Linked DNA regions of Neodiprion lecontei. The protein of the gene in region 3 purifies or fractionates together with the protein of the main gene of each other region. This does not show direct contact. Links are inferred from orthologs where the notes say so. Each region holds a gene or a part of one and is shown on either strand. Other genes may lie near its edges.

Region 1 (6,904 bases), about 6.1 Mb from region 3:
AAAAAGTAACGATACCCCCCCCCTCCCCCTAAGTCTTTCTCAAATCAATTCAAATAAGCAATTTGAGCCATACAAATTAATCTATTTTTTAGCGACACTAGGCTAAATATTTGATTTGTCATTCATTATTTACTTCCGAAGTGAGATTTATGAAAAAAATCACCTTTAAGTTCCTGAAGAAGATTTTTAAAAAATTTGTATAATATTTTGCATCAGGAATCGATTTGAAAATTCTGAAAGAAATGAGCATAACATCTACACTATAAAGTCTGAATTAGCTGTTACCTGGAAAGACACATTTTGACTATATTTCTTCCAGCTGGTATGACGGATTCTCTACATTTTATGTAAATGGTGAGGGTCTGATTTACAAACATGTAGCAGACAAAATGATGCCTGATCGAGATGAGACTCCAATAACCAAAGACTCATCTGCAGTTGCGGCAAAACTAGCCCTGTTTTTGGGCTTATTAGTGCCAGGTGAAACGATACCTGAAATGTACCTCTTGCGACCATTGTCAAGACGACATGATTCATTACTTAGAAAGTTACAAGGAGATACAGAGCATTTAGCAACAAATTTGTTACCGTTAGAAAAACTTAAATAATTTATTACTGTAATAAAACATTTAAATCTCAAATTTGTCCAATTTTGTTCCAGCCCTGAGATGCTTTGAAAATAAAATTATTAAATTCGAAATATCACTAACGACTTCTATGTAATGTTGTCTAGCATTTTATTCATGTGGCTAGTAGCGTCATTTACCAAATGTAAAACAATGATAACCTGACACAATTCCGAACGATTTTCAATTAAAAGAGCAACTGGCGTTATGTGATGACAAATTGGGTGTTTCAATAGTAAAGACATTAACTTCTGCTTCTAGATAGATTTGACAAAGTAAAGCTCTAGTGAATAGGTAAGTTTTAGTTTAGTCACCGGTACACCAAATACTTGGAACATACAAAAGTGTAACTAATCAGTCTGAGATTCAAATTTTCGAGTGAGTGATGTTCTCAACAATTATCGACGATTGATTTGTATCACATACAAATGCAGTTTGTTGTTAGATTTTCATTACGTAGATTACATAATTTATTAAGAAACTGTGATGGTCAGATGATTGAATGTAGTCATTGACAAATTAAACCACGAGATGACGTTGAATGTAAGAGAGTTTACTTGCTTGTAAATTAAAAACGAAGCCACCGCTAAGCGTCATCTATAGCCCGTGAAAAAATAAAACTATTATGTATACATACTTGTACACCGTGCCTTTGGTTTATATTACTCCACTCAATCCTATATACCTAATCCGTGAAACAATTTCAAGTCCTGCACATATGAATGAAGAAACGTATCCCAAGATAAAAATTTATTTACACATAGAATTCAAACGTAATTCCTAACTTAAGTATCTTTTATTATCTTATAACCGATTTGGGCCATTGATTAATCATCTGAACTTGTCACAAACTAGTCATTTAGATGAATGTACAAACATCCCAGGATCAATTGTCACACTTTACATTGGTCGCCACTTCCTTCCGTGCCATAAATTATGTCAGTCCATGGATCGGATAATATGTTACATTTTCGAAGTACAGTAATTAGTTCCCATTACATCACCAAGCCTAGAATCCATGCATTCAAAACTAAATGTTAAAATCTAACATTCAATTAACAGTAAAGATATGTAAGTTCGAAAATGAAAAAAAAATGTATACAGAATAATCTAAACAGAATCTTACCAAGGAAATCATCCATTAAGGTACCAATGGCAAACTGAAAATGATTCACAGGAAAATTAATGAAATAAGTTCGTTAAAAAAATTCTTTGTAAATCTGTGTACTTACAATCCCTGTCGCATCAACTCTGGTACCGACAATTTTTAATCTTATTTCGTCATCTGCTTGAATTACTACATCCTGTAATTGAAAGAATAACAAATTGATTATCCTTAGATTGTTTCAGAAGAAACCTTCGAAACAACCTTCGATGTTCGATAAGAAATAACTTTGGGAAATGTTTCTATGAAGCACTAACATCGTGTACATGTTAGTTCAGTTATTTTTTGACATGAATTTTACTATCATTATGATTGTACCACGATAAATTCATCTTTTTGTATAACGTAACGTACCAAAGCCATTGCAATATTTAGCTAATTGTTTTATAATCAATAAAAGGTATTTCATATTCTTTGACAACAATGGCTTGTTCTCAATGACAAATTTTAATAGAAGATAGATAATAACACGAATTCAAAAATATATATTTCAGAATCAAGGCTAAATATTATTTTATCGTTTATCAAAAGCGATGTTCATAATTTTCTAAAACTAGCTAAAATTTGTATAAGCAAAAATATTATTTCCACAGAACATCACAATCCAATATCGAATTTCATAATAAATTTCTCACCTCTTCCTTTGACTTATAACAAGGTGGATTGACATTTGGACAAAATTGCATGTCGGCTGGAATGGACTGAAATAAAAGAAAACGAAAAATTTAGGTTTACATCAAATGATAAATGGGAAACAAAAAAAATACTCACGTGATGAGATATGAAACAAGACAATGGTCCTATTTCAGCGAACATGCCAACCTACAACCGTAAGACATACACAGAGTAATGTTTGTACGATTATGATCAAAACTCACATATCAACATAACAACTTGTTATACCTTATTGACTTGCGTTACGACTGCGTCCAGAACCTCTCCTTTGAAAGGTCGAAAAACAATAGCCTTATATTTTACGGGATATACAACGAAACCTTGTCCTGGCTGAATAATACCAGCTCCAATATTGTCTATCGTTGTCACTGCGACGACAAATCCATACCTATAGAAATTCGAGGTGAATAATGTTTTGTAAGTGAAATGCTTGACGTAATGGAAAATGTTGTCATTTATAACATTTAAAGTATAAGAATAAAGGCAGTTCCACTCTGTTCGTAATGTTTTGCGATGAGAAATAAGATTTGCATAATTTCAATCGCTATACCTGACTTCAATACCTATTTTCAAAAGCAATTCAATCAGTTATTAATTATCACATACTTTCCAGTGCACGTTCCCTCGACTTCAGTGTACAGTTTCTGTTTAACCGTATCAAGTAGCTGAGGTCCAAAGTATCTCGGATGCAACAAGATCTCATGCTCCAACGATATCTGTAATATGATGGCAATTTTGAGTCAAATCAACTCGAACTAAACACATTTCAATGCGAATAAGATAAGAGGAGGTTAACTTACGTGATAAAACATGTTGTTTTTTACCTCCGTTAACGGTCTTCAGCTATCCAACTTATTACTTTTTTTTTGTATTTACAGAATCTCTTGAAATCGATACCCTACTTTTCAGAAACTAAGTCTGACAGAATCTGTCACATTGGGGTTATGTTCGTACAGAATTACGCCGCGAAATGTGACTATGCGAGTGACCGTTGGAGTAACGCGGCAGTCAGGCGCGGGAAAATTGCTGCGCATGCCCAAAAAATAGCGCACGTTTGAAATTGTGGAACGTAATATTTCACGGAAAACCCATGATTGAAGATATATAAAGACTGATAGCCTTATGAGACTTTTCCTAATCGAAAATGGAAGAAATAAACTCATGTTCAAGCGGCGCCACCTGCATCCTACCTTGTACGCGCAACTCAACAGCGTAGCTGATGTTACCATCGCTCATCGAATAGTCGAATATAATTATGCCTATGGAATGACGAACGGGAACAGACTGAAATTTTCATACAACTCCGTGTGGACGCCGTATACCTACTTTTCAACTACGCAAATTCATTTAGGCCAAATTCAGCAATATCAATTTAAATCCATCGCATCGACAAAAATAATGCTATGTATATAGATGCACAATAAACATGCACTTGGTTTACTGTTGACAGAGTTGGAAACCGTTTCTTGATGCAAGGAATGGGAAACAGTCGAAGAAGTTAATCAAAGAATAGAGATATATAATTGTTCCTATATGTACCTTATGTAATTTTTGTAAATATGTTTAATACTTAACTCGGACCGTTAACTGAAGATAATAATATGTATCTTCAGTCAACGCTCATACTTTCATTTCAAAAAAAGATGCAGCTGAAATATAAAAATAATTTCTTAACTGACATCAGGGTTCCGTGATTTTATTATCGATGAAAGATGACTGCTTTAATTATAGATGAATGATGGTCGTTTTAATTATATATGAAGGGTGATCGTTTTTATCTTATATGTAAACGGCAATTAACTTTGGAAGTTCGCGCACGGTTTTTTTTTCTTATGAGGTACGAGGTAATCACTAAAATGGAGAACCTGGTGAATACGCAAAACAATCTACAACTAAACCAAGATCAAAAACACGAATAGCTGTAAAATGTTGTCATTTACCTATCGGAAGACGATGCAGAAATCTTTGAAGAAATGAAAACAAATCGGAGTAGAATAAGCACAACCACCAAAATACGAGAGAGCTGAATAATTCTACCGCAAAATACAAACCGAACATGACCTATGAGCGACTTGAGAAAAAAAACTCTGGCACTAAAACGATCGCAATAAAAGACTGTAAAACCATTGAAAAATAAACTACAGCTAGATAAATTTTACCACACATTGTGATCATGATGATTCTGAACTGCATCGCTAAATCTATGCATCGGTGAAAACAAGATGACTGACCCTGAACCAGACCTAGACCAGACGTAAGCCTAAACAATGAAACGTTGATTTTTCAGTATAGTCAATAAAGCTGTTACCTGCAACAGATGAAGATATAATTAGTGACATATGTCAATACAGATAAAAATATAATTAACGAAAAAAGAGGCAAATTAATTAATCGAAACAGGGAGAAGATTTGATTAGCTGAAACAGTAAAAAAGTTTGATTAGCTGAAAGAGACGGAAAATCTGTTGAGCTGAAACAGACAATAGATTTGATTAGCTGAAACAAACAAAAAGTTTGATTAGCTGAAAGAAACACAGTGTTCGATTAGCTAAAACAGATAAAATGTTTGATTAGCTAAAACAGACGAAGGTATGATTAGCACAATCACATAAGTTCATACACTGACAAAAAATGGGTTGAGTCCAACATGATATTCGCTTTAATGTTCGTTGCTTCAATTATTAATTGTATTGATGAATAAAAAACAGTCCAAGTTTTTTGAATCGATATCTCTTTCTGCTTTGAAACATTAAAGTGAATATCTTTTTCGACTGAACATTCTACAGTTCTCAATGCGTTTGTTGAAAAAATGGTTTTGTTGCCCTGTAACAACAAATAAAACGATCAGTTGAACGAGTATATCTGTAAATTTTGGATAAATTTCATAAATACTTACGCTAACGTCACTATCTACATTCCACTACTAGTATACACTACCGAAATTTTTGGTCCTGCGCCTTGAGCGCTAGTTTTCAAATGCCGCGCTTTGCCTCATAACTGAAACGTATCAAGTCCACGTGCCAAAGGTGGCGTCGAAATTGGAAACTTTATTATTCGTCAAAAAATTGACGAGGAGCTGAAAAATCAACACATCGAGAGTGCGTAACTCTTTTATATACTGTTTGCAAAATCGACGAACAACAAAACGTGACCGATTATCGTTATTAATTTACGCGCAAAAAGCTGCGTTCAATTCCCGTGATAAATCTACGCGCAAAAAGGCGCGACAGACTGAACTGTTAAAAAATTTGTATTATCTGGGACTGGTCCGAAAAATTCTGTAGATACCCAATCCACATCTGCATTTTTTTGAATTAAATATATTTCTATGCGGATTGTTGTTCTCAGATTACAAATCGAAATCGCAAGGGGGGTTGGAGGGTATGCATTATTGTGTGGCGTGACGGTCGGCGGTCCTCTTCGACGCGAAGTCTTCGAGCTGAGCATCTCTCTCTATTTACCGTACCACGGAACGCGATAAATAGTCCAGAGATGCGATTTGCCCATTCAGACGATCACAGATATCAATTGAATAGAACAATGATCGGTAATGACTGAATAATTGAATTGAATAACAATTGAAAAGTGGTTGCATACTGACAAGAAATGGGAAATTCGATCTCGTTAATATTCAAATGGTTACAAATGATCGAGAGACTCAAATGGAGTCTTTTGAGAAAAAACTTTCTGTGATCGTTTGACGCTGTGGATTACAAAATTTATCAACATCACGGTACATCGCGACCTTCCTACCCTTGCCTGTTTTCCAACGGAACCACCCAACGGAGAAGCAGACTCTCGCACACACATGTATAAACCCCGCGACGGATCCCAAATCGTCCACCTACCTACCCTGTTACCTATATTCGATCTAAACGATTCTCCATTTTTTCCAACACACATCATTCTTCATCATTTGCGCCGTGGTCACTGACTTACATTTTCGTTGGTTACCTGTTGGGAGTAAAATGTTTTTGTATCGTAGTCTGCCTACTCAGAATATGGTATCGCGGTTGTATCCCCTCAACCCTAATATTGTAGGTATTATTCTAGTAAATGTTGGCAGACTATCGGTACATCAACCTTTTGTAAAATTGATTAAAAACATCCTGTATGCCAATTAGCATTTTTCTAAGCGAGCTAAGCCTGCAGCTGATCGATATTTATTGGATGTTAAATGATTGAACATGATATATAATATAAAATGCAATTTGATTACGTTACGTTATGCCAGAATTTGTAATTTTATTGATTCAAGAATAATGTTAATAATTGAATACGTTCAAACCTCAGGTGAACACACCACTTAAACGACATCATCGGTAAATTCAAACGTAGATTATTACAACAGTTATGAAACACAATTCGATCTCGCGAGTGCCGTGTAAGCGATGGTTACCTGTCGCGATGCTCATTCCACTTTTAGCAACGTGCAAAAT
Region 2 (6,904 bases), on a different chromosome or scaffold from region 3:
TGTTAATGGCCTCTATTTTTTATATCAATGGAAGCATGGTTAAAAACAATGACTAACAGTAAGTCCAAAGTTTCCATCACTTGTTGTCAAGACTCTAAGCTTATTAAATTCATAGTACATTTTCAGAGATATACCAAAGCGGGCTGAGTTTTGAACGATTGGAATCTCAAGAGACGGATGGAATACTTCTGAAGCACAAAACTACGTTTGATCAGCAAGTTGGATGAAATAGGTTCAGCGGTCTTGATAAACATAACGCTATAAATTTGTGAATAGGCAGCTGTTTATGATACAGTTGTGCACTGTAAAATAAATACTTGGATGCATCAGAATAAAACACAATGTACTGGAATACTGCCAACAGACATATTGGACCAACTTGAATTTTTACTACGTTTCTTTCAATGTTGTATACGAAAAGACCCTGAGTTGCTAAAAAAAAGTGTATCCACTCTATGGACAGAAATAATAAACCAATTTCAAATATACTTCATGATACTTTAAACACTAATTTTTTTCTCATTACTTTTCTTTTTTATCTTTCTTTCCTCTTGGTTCCAAACAAAGGTATGACTAAGGTTTGCTATAAAAATTTTAAATGTCCAAATCACAGTTGTACATTATTGAGAGTGCAAGGAATCTGGAATACTTATTCAATTTGTCATCTTATTTCTTAGTATTTTGAATTCCATTTTCTGTGTCCATTATGAAACTCCTTACAAATTATTCGTAATGTAAACGGTACGTATTTATAGAGCTAAATATCACGAAGTTTATGCATGAAAAATGAATATTACATACACTAGGTATCATCATTTTCTCTGTGTATTTTTTTTTTTTGAATTTATGAGACGTCTGGGAGCAAACACAAATTTAGATCACTTCTTGCTATCATTTATTTATTTTTTTAGAACTAACCCAATTAATAGTTGTATCAATTCGTAGTGTACATGGTCGAATGTATCAGTTTTGTGTCCGGTATGACTTTTTCACCTGTAGGCTCACGCAGCTACTACCATACTCATATGTAATTTAATTTTAGCTACAAATTCTTGAGGAATAAATCATTGGTGGCACTTCTGCCAGTAGTGTTGTAGTAATACTTAAAAGTTCTCTCTTTTTTTCAATTATATTTCATCACTACTGAAAATGCTTTCGATGATACAAGATGTTAGTTGTTACTCTAATCCAATATCACAGAACTTGTGGAATAAAGTAAAAACGTCCACATCTGCGACACGAACCACATTACATGAACAATTGAAATGAGACTTACCAAAATCTGACATGGCATGGTCTATTCTTGGAGAAGAGGCCGTATCCTGTAATCGTTCTGCGTTTCTCTTTAATCGAACCTGTACCACATCTTCACTCGGGTGAATGGATATCAGATTCAAGTCTTTCTTGCAGGTTACGTTCATTCTGTAAATATTTGTTATGGAGCAAAAATTAAAACTATGAATTTCCCACGTTAATACTGATTTAACGAAGTTTGGACTGCACTGTATATTTTTCCTTCCTTGTTAATTATACTTACATTGAATGCCTCAAATCCATTTTAAAATAAACAGCCTCATTCAGCTGGGCTGTTTCATCTAGTAATGGACATTTTTCTCGTTGATTTTCTGTGTACGAATTACTAACATCGCTGAGAGTTCGTTCCAAGCTGAATCCGAACTGAAATAGTTATAGTGTTATAAATGGCAGTTGCATTTAGTATTGTCCTGTAATAAATAGGCACGTAATACAATTTATCAGATGATCGGGCACTGAGTACAATACTCGTATTCATAATGTTACAAGCAAACATGCTTGTGCAATCACATTTGTCGGAATGCAAAGCGTATAATCTTGGAAAAACCTTACATCTCCCACATTAGATACCAAATTCATAAGATGTAAAAACATTATCAATGTTGGGAATAAATGATAAGTTTCCTGCGTTCACATCTACGTGATATTGCAACCTGATGGAACAGGTTCGATAAAAGTTGGGAAGAAGAAACGATTTACTAGTATATGTCAAAGTATAAAAAAATACTCATTTTCCTCTGAATGTTAACGACAGCTCATCTCACCATACAGTTATACGGAAAAGGTGAAGCGTCGGTGATGGAATGAATATTGCTGGGTGAATGTACGTATGTATGTGTATACGTACACCAGGTGTACGTATGCCAGGTAAATCGAGGGTTAAACGTCAAACCTACCACTGCATCCTCGGCGCCCTGTTCCACCTTAAAATTAGTCAAGTTTACGCGCAAAGTGCCTCCTTCGTAAAATCCGAATGTGCTGAGAGCGATGTAAGCTCTGACGTCGTTCTGCAATAAAGGAAATTGATTATTTTCCTTTGGAATGTTTCACCGATGAGACGGTACTACTGTACGTACAACACACGCGCGTGTCTAGTACGCGTATAAAGATTCCTGAAAAAAAATATAATTCGTCAACGCACCCTTATCTCAAGCTTGTGAATCCTCGCCTGAGTTAGCGAAGCTAAGGTGAGCACAACTATGCACGAAACAATCACGGATTTTGAATACATTTTTCAAATATTTATATTGTAACGTTACTTCACGTATCGGGGAACATTGCCACTTGACACACGAAACACCTCGCCCCGCAAGTTCGCACGGCGAGCAGAAGCAGCAGAAGCTGGTTCGGCAGGGATTTGGAAAATGGTATAAGATGCCGAATGCGGATGGAACTTCTAGTTACACTCGCTCGACATGGGTGGCGTCAGTGTGTTTGATTTGTTTATTTATTTATTTTTTTATTTTTTTGTTTATTTTGCTCCTTGAATCACGTGATCACGGCATTCTCTTATTAAATTTAAAAAAATAAACCTGATATTATCAACGGCAGCGCCTCCAGTGCAGAAATTATTTCTCCACATTTTCGGCCGTTTCTTCTATACGTTAAGATCGTTCTCCTTGTATCTAGACTCCATGACTGCACCACCACCTTTAATGCTCCGTGTGCACCACACTCATTTTTAACAACTTGTATGGTTGTCTTATACCAAGAACCGAGCTGTCAGTTTGACAGGTTAGAAGGAGCGATTCAAATTTCCTCGAGATTTCTCTGTAGCATCCAAATGTAGTATCTGTTAATAATGTATCGCAAATATTCCTGAATCAATTGTCAGGCTGTTGGTGGAATCTTATCAAACTATAATTGCATGTACAACCTTGTCATCGATAAAACCGACCCTAATCTCACCTAGCGTAACCTAAATATAATTCTTTTTCACGCTAATTCGCCCTTGTTGTCCCAGATATTACAGGTATAAATCATTGAAACATTGAAACACAACGATGACATCAACGTCGAGGAAACGTAACGATGGGAGCAGAACAAAAATGAAAATGAGGTAGGAAATTGATATTTTGCAAGTTTACTGGGTAGTAAGTAAAACATTTACGTTTCGTTTTATTTCCAGCAAGGAACAACTGCAGCTGGCTCTGACTAAGAAACGGCAGTGTGATGCGAGAGCTTTAGCAATTGTAGAACGGTTGATAGATGATGCAGTCGACCAAACTTGGCTTTTGGAAAATGTTAGACGAATGGTTGCTCAAGATTCGGCAATATTAATGAAATACCATTTTCGTTGTTAATTTGTATTGTATACACCGTTTAAACTATGAAATATTTTCTTCTACAGCTGGAGCATATCAATCGATGTCACATGGACGACGTAGTTGAAGAAAGAGCTATATTGAGACGGTGTGGTTATGCTCTGTGCGACAATCCATTGAAATTGAATATAAATCAAAAATATCACATATCGACTCGCAATAATAAGGTTTATGATGTAAGTCGCAGAAAAAATTTCTGCAGCAATAACTGTTATGGAGCAACAAATTACATTCTTGAACAAATGCTCACTAGCCCACTGTGGCTGAGAAATCCGAAAGAAAAGCCTTGCTTCCAGCTGCTACCTCCCACTGGATTAATTAAAAAAAGTACTCCAGGCGATGAAGTTTACCTGGGACGAGAAAACGTCTCTGTTGATTCATGCGAAATACAAAAAACTGATAAAGCTATTGTGTCTGACAAATTACCATCAACAGAGAGTAATAATGCGATTGAAAATACTATAAATAATGTACCTGATAATTCCATAAATAAATCAGGCACCGAAATCGTTGAAGGGGATGTAAGTGCTAAAGAAATAGCCAATCTTCACAAACCCGCAGAACCAGTTGCACGCCAAAGTAATAAATGTGATACTTTGGCGGTTGAACAAGATGTTCGATCAAGCATAAACAATATTTCCAAAGTAAATGCAAAAGAAGATAAAACGCGCAAAGTACATGGCAAACAAGATGTCAGGAAAAGTAAGGTGGATTCAAGCTGGTTTGTTGAACGTATCAAACATTATTTACAAGAGTGGCTTACTTTGGATTCCTTGGCTCTGTTGTCGGGAGATGTGTGGTTGAAGCAGCAAAAAATAGATGAAATTACGAAACATACAAAGGACAGTAAATTCCAAAAGAAATATGTTGAACTATGCCAAAAAATCGATTCATGCCAAGTAGATGAAGACACTGACGAGGAAGATAGTAAACGCGATTTAAAACCTCTACCAGATTACAGTGTGCTGAAAGAAGCAAGTGCCCAAATAGAGGTCAAGGTATAATAGGATTGGATGTACTGTCATTTGTCAGCAACAAATTGTCTTTATCCAATTCAAATTTACTAGTAGTCTATTTCTCGTAGGTACGAGCATTTTACCAAGGCCAAACTTTGATAGATGCAACAAAACCACCATCAGGTAACGCAGTTGCTAATGAGGAAGATGATTCCAGTACATTCATGCCAATGCTTGGAGAGCGTGAGCCTAGAACACTCAGGAGACGTATAATTTTGGAGAAACTTGATAAAGTGTAATGATGGTTCTGCATTGAGATTAGATATTCCAAATTAAAGCTCGCATTAACGCTTGTATAATATTTTAGGTTGCCAGAAATGGTGCGTACCTTGGCTGGAGGCGAGTTTGCTGTTGATGGATGTATCAGCACTAACGGGTGTGGAAAAACGGTGAAAGCTCTTGTAAACACCTTTTCGTTATCGGCTAGCAATGTTATCCCTAAGCCTGCGGAATGGAACCTTCTTGGCCTTATTTTTATAAGACTGTGAGTAGCAGATGAACTATTGAGTAATCGTATTTATCATTTCATATATTAAATTTGTTAGAAGACAGTGCATTTGTCTTTAAATTTATCGCAGGTTGAGCACCTCCGAGCCCAGGTTGAGGTTTCTATTGGGTACAGACCGAGCGTCAAAGTATATAACTATGATTCTAATGTCTTATAATTTGGAGCCTAGTGACTTGGACACGCTGGTAGCGGTGGCAACAGACATCCAGTTAGTTAGCAATAAGAATTTTCCAAAAAAATAACGATAATTCGATTTCTCCTGACGCTGACAGATCTTCAGAGATATAAAATGTATGATTCTGGTTTCTGTGATACCACGCAAGCGTGCATGCGAAATAAAATAATAAAAGTGAATTTTTGTCACGTGTTTCACAATACGTAACCCGTATTTCACGGAAATTCGCAACACCTTAAGTAAAAAGAGAAGAGAAGTGGCATGCTGTGAAAGTGAGGACAAGGAGAAGCTAGTTTGGTGATGAAGATGACTGTGAAAGAGATAATGAAACCTCGTTCGATGCGGGACATCCCTCCCAGCTGTAACGTTTTCACTTTACCAAGGAATGGCTACAAGCTTCTATAGTACCCATGGTATAACTCTATGGCCCATGGAGAGCGTAATCATAAATGTAAAGTCTCTCCAGCTGTTTAGCAACAGTTATTCCACTCAGTTTACATATACGGAGTTTTTTTTTTTTTTTTTTTTTAGAGAGAGAGAACCATCTAATGCAAAGACTTGTTCCTGGTTGGTTAATGAGAGTAGTCGCTACTAGTCGGTACAAAGTAGAGTTTGAGAGAAGGGAGAGAGCTCAGAGTCCTTACATCCAATGTAAAAGCCTCTTCCGATGATGCCCCTGATACGAGATAGGTTCTTGTTTGCAACTGATTTTCGGTTGAAAACGAGTGTCTGCAATCGATCAATACTTACCCTATATACTGACAGTCGATAACACCACTGATGCATCAAGAAAGCTGTGGATGATACAGAACACCTTTATAGAGTTTAGTACAGAGATCGATAGTCGGAAGGGTTGGAACTGAACGAATTATCATAAAAATTCATTACCTCGCTGGTGAAGCCGTGATACTGTGAGTTTTTCGTCCTGATTGTGAGTGTGAAACAAAATTCGACGATTTAAATGAATTAAAAGCACATTGAAAGGGAACCCCTCTGTTAATTGGTTAGAAATGGTTCATGTAGTGCCTAACCAAATAACCCTGGTGAATGATCCGAAGCTTGGATCACGGACTCGGGTAGGTTCCTTTACCGTTGCCGTATTTTTACCAGGGCACATTATGCCGTGGCTGTCCATCAGACTCGGGATCCTCAAACATCGGTGGTTGGACACGGTTTGCTCAATGCCGTACACCAAATTATTTAATATGCAGTATATCTCGAGAAAATTGTAAAACACGTAAATCAAAATTGTACACCGTACTTCACGTACATATACGCGAATGGATTAAGCTGGCTCTTTAAATAAGCTACGGTAATCTGTCTAATTGATAGAGTGCAAAGGTTACTGTAACTCAGTGCCTCTGAAGTGTTCTAAGTTTTCGATTAAGTGCGATTTCTGCCTAACTTGCCTCATGCGATATGACGCTGAATTATCGAACTTTTTTTATTTCTAGGTACAACCGTAAATCCTCAGCGGGAAAGATGTAAGCAGCATAACGGATTTCGAGTGGGTTTTTTTCTCGTTTTTTTTCCACAGTAACAGCCATTGGCCGCCCGACCCTTGTGT
Region 3 (6,904 bases):
GTATAATCAGTTCCGCTAGTTTGGTTATAGTTGCTATAATTTCCATAAGTGTTGCTACTCGGCGGTGGTTGACTATACTGGCTGTAGTTGGTACTGCCGCCTGAAGGTGGAGGATATGATGTATCTTGCCCTCCAGAAGGTGGAGGTTGGGTATACTGGCCATAACCCTGCTGCTGGTAGGCGCTGTATTCTGCCAAAGATAATAACAAATCGAAATTCAACTACAAATTTTCAAGTCCCTTCTTATTCCCACATAGAATCGTAATGACGAAGCAGTGAACTTATGAAATACAATCCAACTGTTTGTTTGACAAAAGTAAGATTTAATGCGATTCATTGAATATCCATTACGTGACTTATGAGAAATAACAGAGTTTTATCCGAATGGTGGCCATGGTAGCATGGAAGGACAGTTAAATTCTTGAACATGGAGTTCATATTTACGTATTGTACAAACAGTGATAGTAATAAAATTTCGTAAATTAAGAGAAGCTTAATGAACTGAGATACACGATCCCATTTCAACTTAGTTGAAGCCACACTAAGGTGTGTTTTTGGAAAGTATGAAATTTATGATAAATCATGTCAACATCACGAATGATAAGACTCCATGTTACAATCAGCAACTCGTAAGCACGAAACGCGTGATTCGTAGTTGATTATTGATCAGGCAGCAAAATCACATTTTCGAAAAGAAAATCTAATGTTATGACTTAACTACGTGCCTTGGGTAGGAAAGAAAAATCATGATATCGAGCGAAAGCAAAGAAACTTAGTATTACCGTCTACAATTAGGTATCATCAGGTTTAATACGATAAAATTAGTGGCGTGGCAAAGTCAAGACGACGAAAAATAGCATGGACGACTGTTAGTAAAAACGCCCGACAAGACGCTGATCCATTACTAACTCGTATGCACAATTATTACGACGATCCGGTAAGGGACGGTCTATAATATTATCTACAAACAAGTTCGGCTATACAACTAATATATAATACTTACGATTATCGGTCATCGTGCCCAGTGGCGTCCTTCACAAATGCGAATAGCGACGCTATAATTGCTCAAGGCACACCGCACACGCAAAAGTACACGCAACGTCTGGGTGTGAGAACACGTAATGGCGGGAACGGCTCGGCAACTTGGGGACTACCGGCGATATCGTGAAGTTATACCTACGAGTTACGCGAGTTATACCCACGGCGATGGCCGACGTCTACCACCACAGTCACTCGTAATTCTCAACTTAGAGCTATGGAGCGTACTTATGGAAGAACCGCATTCTCTAATGGCGGTGCGTTCAAAACATGGTCAAACTCTGGATGCAAATGAGGGTACATAAAATAATCGACGTGGCGCTGATTCATACTGCGTTGATTGATGAAATTGAATGTGTTAGTCACACAGTTACACTTATTGTATCGTAAACGTACACGCTCCATACTTACTACTCTAGTCTCCATGCTCTACCCATCCATTGAACTGGCGAAAAATGGAGCCAAAGTGATGAAAGAGCAAGATTTATATATATTAGGGTTACTCCGTCTCTCTCACTCTGCATTTGATTGGTCGAGTGGTAACGTATCGGCCAATCGAGTCTAGAGCGAAAGGACACATATACCTTTCGCTCTCACTCTTCCGCTAACTCTCCAGTTCTGGACTATGTAGCCTTGCATCAGGCGGAGAGGGTTCTCGGGGTAAAACGCTTTTCGTACGAAAACTATCCTTACTTTATTTGAAAGATAATTAGGTATCAATACCAAATACGCGCGGAACGATAAAACACATATGATAAAATACAATTGTTGCAATAATGTGTTAAATAAATTAAAAATAGATCGAATGTACAAAAAATGAAATAATCAACGGCACGATAATCTTGCGCATTTGGTATTTCTCTTTCAAGTTTTCGGATTAAAACGGTGAGCTTTTAATGATTTTCATTGATTTTGCTCCAGTTTGATCACACACTTGGGATTCCGTTGGTTTTCCAAGCGTTGACTAACTGCAAGTGAGTGCAGACATATTTTGATATACTTGCCTGCGATATTGATAAAATAAATTTCAAAAGTCTCATTTTCAGTAGGCTTCTTTAAATTTTTTGGTATTGCTTCTTATTGTTAGATGTTAAATTATTCAAATATTCGGTTTAAATGTTACAGGATTTGTTATATTGTAGGTAATATGTACAAATATCATAGGATAATTCATGTTTCGATCAATCTACAAATTAGTTATACCATACATTAAATGAAATATTGGTTTCCGTTTGAAATTTGGTGAATAATAAATTTTGCGTTTATTTTACTACTTGGCATAAATATTCTTAATCAATTCATTCTTTTATAATTAGCTAGTTGTTTTGTGAACACATCATTCATCTGATTGACTTTTCTCTTGTTTAATATCAAATTATAAGAGTAGTAAGTAACAATTGTTTGCACAAGAAACTTCGCTCAAATATCGATGATTAGCAAAGTACCTCTTGTGGCCAATCAACATATTCGAAACGGTTCCACATAGATTTTCAATTCCTAGTATCGGTATTCCAACAACTGGTGGCATTGACAAATTGTCATGAATACAAACAATCTTTTTTCATAACCGAGTTTTTCTTTTGTTTAGTATTCAATAGTCAAAACAATCTATATAGACATTAGACTATACTACTGGACACACAGCCTTTTATCGAAACTGAGACGATGAAATTAGGTTTCACAGAACTGCGTGAATTCCTGGATACACTTTGGCCGATTACAGGACTAAAATGGTGTGAGTAAACAGAGTGATAGACAGGCCGAGTTCACCAATAAACATCCTATCTAAAATTACTGTAATTGCCATGAGGTTTTATTTCGCCTATACAGTAACTGATGCATGCACGACAATACATTAACATGTATTGGCTGCAGTTTAAAAATAACATGGGATATTCTTTAGTTAAGAAAAAGCTTAAATTTCTTACGTTGCGTTGAATTGAGCAAGGCACATGGGCAGTTCTATGATTTCTGAATAAATGAATTAAACTCGTCGTCTCGTTTCACTTTGTGTACGAACCACACGGGTATGTATAATCGATTAGATGAATAAAAATGGAAAGAATGGAGATCACGTATTGGAATGCTGCGAGGGTGTGAGACCTCCGGGATGTTCAGGGCTGTGTTTTTGTTTTTTTCGTTTTTTCTCTTTCTTCCGTTTCTTTCTCTCTTTCTCCTCGTCATGCTTCCTTTGTTTCTTATGCTTCTTTTCATGGGGATCAGGTCCCCCTATATCAGTGGTAGTAGCCTCTTGACCGCTCAGAGTTTCGCCAGGCTTATGTTTATGCTTTTTGTGCTTATTCTTGTGCTTTCGCTGCGGTGCCTGATTTACGTAACGATACTGCTCTGGGAGCTGTAACATTAAGAAACGGATATCAGACAGTTTTGGGGCAACAATAAAATGAGTTTCTTTAACGGAAACATGTAAATATAACGAAATGAAATAACTCACAGGTCCGGGATGTAGTCTAAATCCAGCGAGTTGCACGCTGGTGAGTGGAAGAAGGTCTTTTCCACAGATTGGAGGCTTGTCTATCACAGACCTTAGAGAACTGAAAGAGAAAAGAAATATGTTAATGAGAATAATAGTTTAAACGCGTTACAATACAAAATAATAATGTTTCAAGTTCGTACCTATTGTCTTGGTGACCAGGCGCGTCGATGATACCAGGTAAATTTGGCAAAAATGATGAGAGTTGTTCCTTGAGCTTTTTACCACTGAATTTACTATAGGAATGCTCGAGGCCATAATAGGCCATCAAATTTGTAGCCCCCGTGAGTTCACTTTGCCCTAGAAAATATTTATATGACATTTGAATTAAGCTTGAAAGAACTAAGAACTGGCAACGTGTATTTAGTTATGCATTATTCGAGGTTTTAAATTGACAAGTGATAATCTCACCAGGGGGCTCCTTCATTAAGTAGAAAGGCCCACTGTGGACGATTGAGGGGTTCTTGCCGAGGGAAATCGTCGTTTTGAGAGTTCCAGTCGAGTCCTGACGTGAAACTACAGGGGAACGGGCTCCCCTCGGTGATGATTTTGGTGAGTATTGTTCCACTTTACTACGAAACTGATCACCCATCATCATCCTCCTGGCTTTACTTCATCGCCCTTTCGCTACAGTAACAATGTTTTATCTTCCTATTTTGGCACAAGCACTGCAGCGAAATAAACAGTAGGGTAAAGACCGATGGGAACTGTGCGCTCCGCCGATGCTCCACCCGGACGTTATTTCACTGCAGCGATGATCCTCGTGTGATGCAACTGTACACAGAGAATCAACGACACTTTACACAGTCTAGTGCATATGTCAGCTATTTTAATAATCTCGCTAGACAAAACGCGAGGATCGGAGCCTCGCTGAAGAACTTGGACGCCCGCTGAGTCTCGGCGACCTTATCACATTGTTTAAAAACAATAAATAACGCGATGAAAACTGACATACATAACACCCATAATCGCGACAAACTCACTCAACGAGCTCAACCACACTCGACGCAGACAAGAAACTGCGATTTGGAAACATTAACGATTCCTGGCCTTCGAATATTTAGGTAACCTAGAAGTGCACACCTGCATGAAACTAGCGGGAGTCGTACACGCTCACTTTTGGAACACAGAATGGACCTGCACACCGTGTTTCACTCTCTATACACTCTACATCACTGTGACCGCATATAGCTTAGCTGTGTGTTCGTTCTTCTGCCGGCAAATGACGCTTTTTACATAGTGAAATAAATACGAGTACTCTTGCGCATGAAAAAAACTGAAGGGTTAAATAATAAATAAAGTGGTTATCCTTTTTGGTGTTAATGTTATCTGGACCATAAATTTACGATATCTACACGATATCGCGTTCGCGATACCTTAACCACGAGTTTTTCGCTCACAACTGGAAAGTGGACAGCGTATCGTCACGTCCATTTTATGATAGGAAATATAGATAGTAAAACATATCGCCTGTTCAACTACCGGTAACCATGTACGTAATAATTTTGCAAATTTAAAACTACTTTTATGACTCAAAATTTACCGTAATTGTTTTTGTGCTCATGGTCAGCAAACTGTGTCGTGCTTTTTTTTTTTTTTTAAACGCTGTTGCTATTCGTATGGTAAGGGTGACTAAGAGTGTCGCTTTCGGAACGTATTTCAACCTTTTGTGGGCAACAAACACCGGCAGGGTGGTTTTTATCTTGGATTCCCATGTAAATTCGGATACCAACAAAATATGATAATTCATGAAACCTTCGGTGACGGCATGATGAAGTCCGAATTTATTCTAACCCCTATTGTGTGACTCGCGAACAGTCTACCATACAAATTACATTCTATTGAAATATTTGATTTTTTATTATGTAAATATTTCCCCAGGGCACGCAGCCGCAAGGATAGCGCTGGTAAGAGCGATTCAGAAGCCACCGACAAGGAAAACAAGAAAGAAAAAGGGCGAGAAAAGAAGAAGCGTGCTGCTTCCTCGTCAAGTAGTGGTTCGAGGTATGTTCCAAACAACTACAGACATAATTTCATTATACGGACATTGAACCGATCTACACTTAATTGATTTTGCAGTTCATCAGATAGCAGCTCGGCATCTTCAAGTTCATCTAGTGGCAGCAGTTCTAGATCGAGCTCTTCGTCTAGTTCGTCATCTAGTAGCTCTGGGAGTTCATCAGCAAGCTCCCGAGACAGGGGTCGCAAAAGAAGCCGGAGTAAGAGCGCAGATGTCTCAAGAAAGCATGACAATAAAGAGAAAGAACGAGAAAAGGAAAGAGACAAAGATAAGAAGAAATCTGGTAATGCAGTGGCCGAAAAGCCAAAGCCCAAAGCCCGTTCTAGGTAAAACTATCGCTTTTACAATTTGTCTGTTAGAATATATTGTTTGCTTCGTAGGCAAAGTAAAAAACTTATAACACCTGTTTCAGGTCGCATTCACCACGGCGAAAACGTAGAGAACGTTCTCCAACACCAAGGCCGACAAAAATTCATATTGGAAGGCTGACACGCAATGTTACCAAGGAGCACATTGTCGAAATATTCTCTACTTATGGAATCATAAAAATGGTAGATTTTCCCCTAGACAGATTACATCCTCCAAGTGGCAAGGGTTTTGCGTATGTCGAATTCGAAACTGCAGACGAAGCGGAAAACGCTATGAAACACATGGATGGAGGTAAACATGTTTGGGCATAAGTTGTATTAATAATAATCTATTAACTTGATCATTAGTTGAAATAATTTTCAAACACACCACTTCTCAATTCCAGGCCAAATAGATGGACAAGAAATTACTGCTGCACCAGTATTGCTGCCAAAGCCAAGGCCACTTCCCATGCGCAGGATGTCTCCTCCCATGGGCCGGCGACCCCCTATAAGATGGGGTGGTGGAGGTCGTAACTCGCCACCACGTTACCGAAGACGTTCTCCACCATTGAATCGTCGCAGAAGCCCCCCGCCTCCTCGCCGAAGACCGAGAACACGCTCCCGAAGTCCTCCATCAAATCCCCGTCATCGTCATCGTCGTTATACAAGATCCAGTTCAAGTAGCTCTCGATAAAGTCAAATGACCGTGTAACTTGATCTTGCATAATTTTTTTTACATTGGAATTATTATAAAATCTGGTGTAATCAAATAATTATGGATAAGTAATGAAATTGAATATTGTAATTTCTCCGACGGACCTCAGTCACCAGTTTCATTGGTCGGCTCCTGATCACTGTTGACTGGTGACATATTTCAAATAAAGGTCGAATATTAGTTGAAAAAACTGTAAATTCCTCCCTTATATACCGAATATAATGAATAACAAAACTTTCATCGAAATCAGCTTTACATAGTTTATGTAAACGAAGGTTAAGAACATGTGA

Evidence for each region.
Region 1: the proteins of mediator of RNA polymerase II transcription subunit 19 (region 3) and DNA-directed RNA polymerase II subunit RPB7 purify together in Homo sapiens (affinity purification with mass spectrometry; 3 studies listed by BioGRID and IntAct, with this or other methods). This does not show direct contact. The link is inferred for Neodiprion lecontei from reciprocal best matches to the Homo sapiens genes MED19 and POLR2G.
Region 2: the proteins of mediator of RNA polymerase II transcription subunit 19 (region 3) and putative RNA polymerase II subunit B1 CTD phosphatase RPAP2 purify together in Homo sapiens (affinity purification with mass spectrometry; 3 studies listed by BioGRID and IntAct, with this or other methods). This does not show direct contact. The link is inferred for Neodiprion lecontei from reciprocal best matches to the Homo sapiens genes MED19 and RPAP2.

The regions. Positions count from the first base shown.
Region 1 is NC_060263.1:8,226,194-8,233,097, forward strand, and holds DNA-directed RNA polymerase II subunit RPB7, read right to left. Parts: upstream 3,550-6,904; 5' UTR 3,279-3,549; coding exon 3,267-3,278; intron 3,183-3,266; coding exon 3,073-3,182; intron 2,855-3,072; coding exon 2,695-2,854; intron 2,614-2,694; coding exon 2,563-2,613; intron 2,493-2,562; coding exon 2,427-2,492; intron 1,931-2,426; coding exon 1,859-1,930; intron 1,787-1,858; coding exon 1,753-1,786; intron 1,636-1,752; coding exon 1,622-1,635; 3' UTR 1,362-1,621; downstream 1-1,361. Other genes in the region: uncharacterized protein LOC107222869, read left to right, coding at 320-608. UniProt on the Homo sapiens protein: Core component of RNA polymerase II (Pol II), a DNA-dependent RNA polymerase which synthesizes mRNA precursors and many functional non-coding RNAs using the four ribonucleoside triphosphates as substrates.
Region 2 is NC_060261.1:546,327-553,230, reverse strand, and holds putative RNA polymerase II subunit B1 CTD phosphatase RPAP2, read left to right. Parts: upstream 1-2,907; 5' UTR 2,908-3,048; exon of another isoform or gene 3,049-3,277; 5' UTR 3,278-3,317; coding exon 3,318-3,373; intron 3,374-3,442; coding exon 3,443-3,569; intron 3,570-3,664; coding exon 3,665-4,636; intron 4,637-4,722; coding exon 4,723-4,889; intron 4,890-4,961; coding exon 4,962-5,138; intron 5,139-5,232; coding exon 5,233-5,404; 3' UTR 5,405-5,516; downstream 5,517-6,904. Other genes in the region: protein GPR107, read right to left, coding at 1,277-1,422, 1,538-1,677, 2,211-2,321, 2,456-2,545.
Region 3 is NC_060263.1:2,149,660-2,156,563, forward strand, and holds mediator of RNA polymerase II transcription subunit 19, read right to left. Parts: upstream 4,563-6,904; 5' UTR 4,128-4,562; coding exon 3,941-4,127; intron 3,830-3,940; coding exon 3,673-3,829; intron 3,591-3,672; coding exon 3,491-3,590; intron 3,392-3,490; coding exon 3,110-3,391; 3' UTR 2,150-3,109; downstream 1-2,149. Other genes in the region: RNA-binding protein cabeza, read right to left, coding at 1-190, 1,004-1,016; RNA-binding protein with serine-rich domain 1-B, read left to right, coding at 5,020-5,021, 5,411-5,533, 5,609-5,875, 5,962-6,209, 6,304-6,593. UniProt on the Homo sapiens protein: Component of the Mediator complex, a coactivator involved in the regulated transcription of nearly all RNA polymerase II-dependent genes.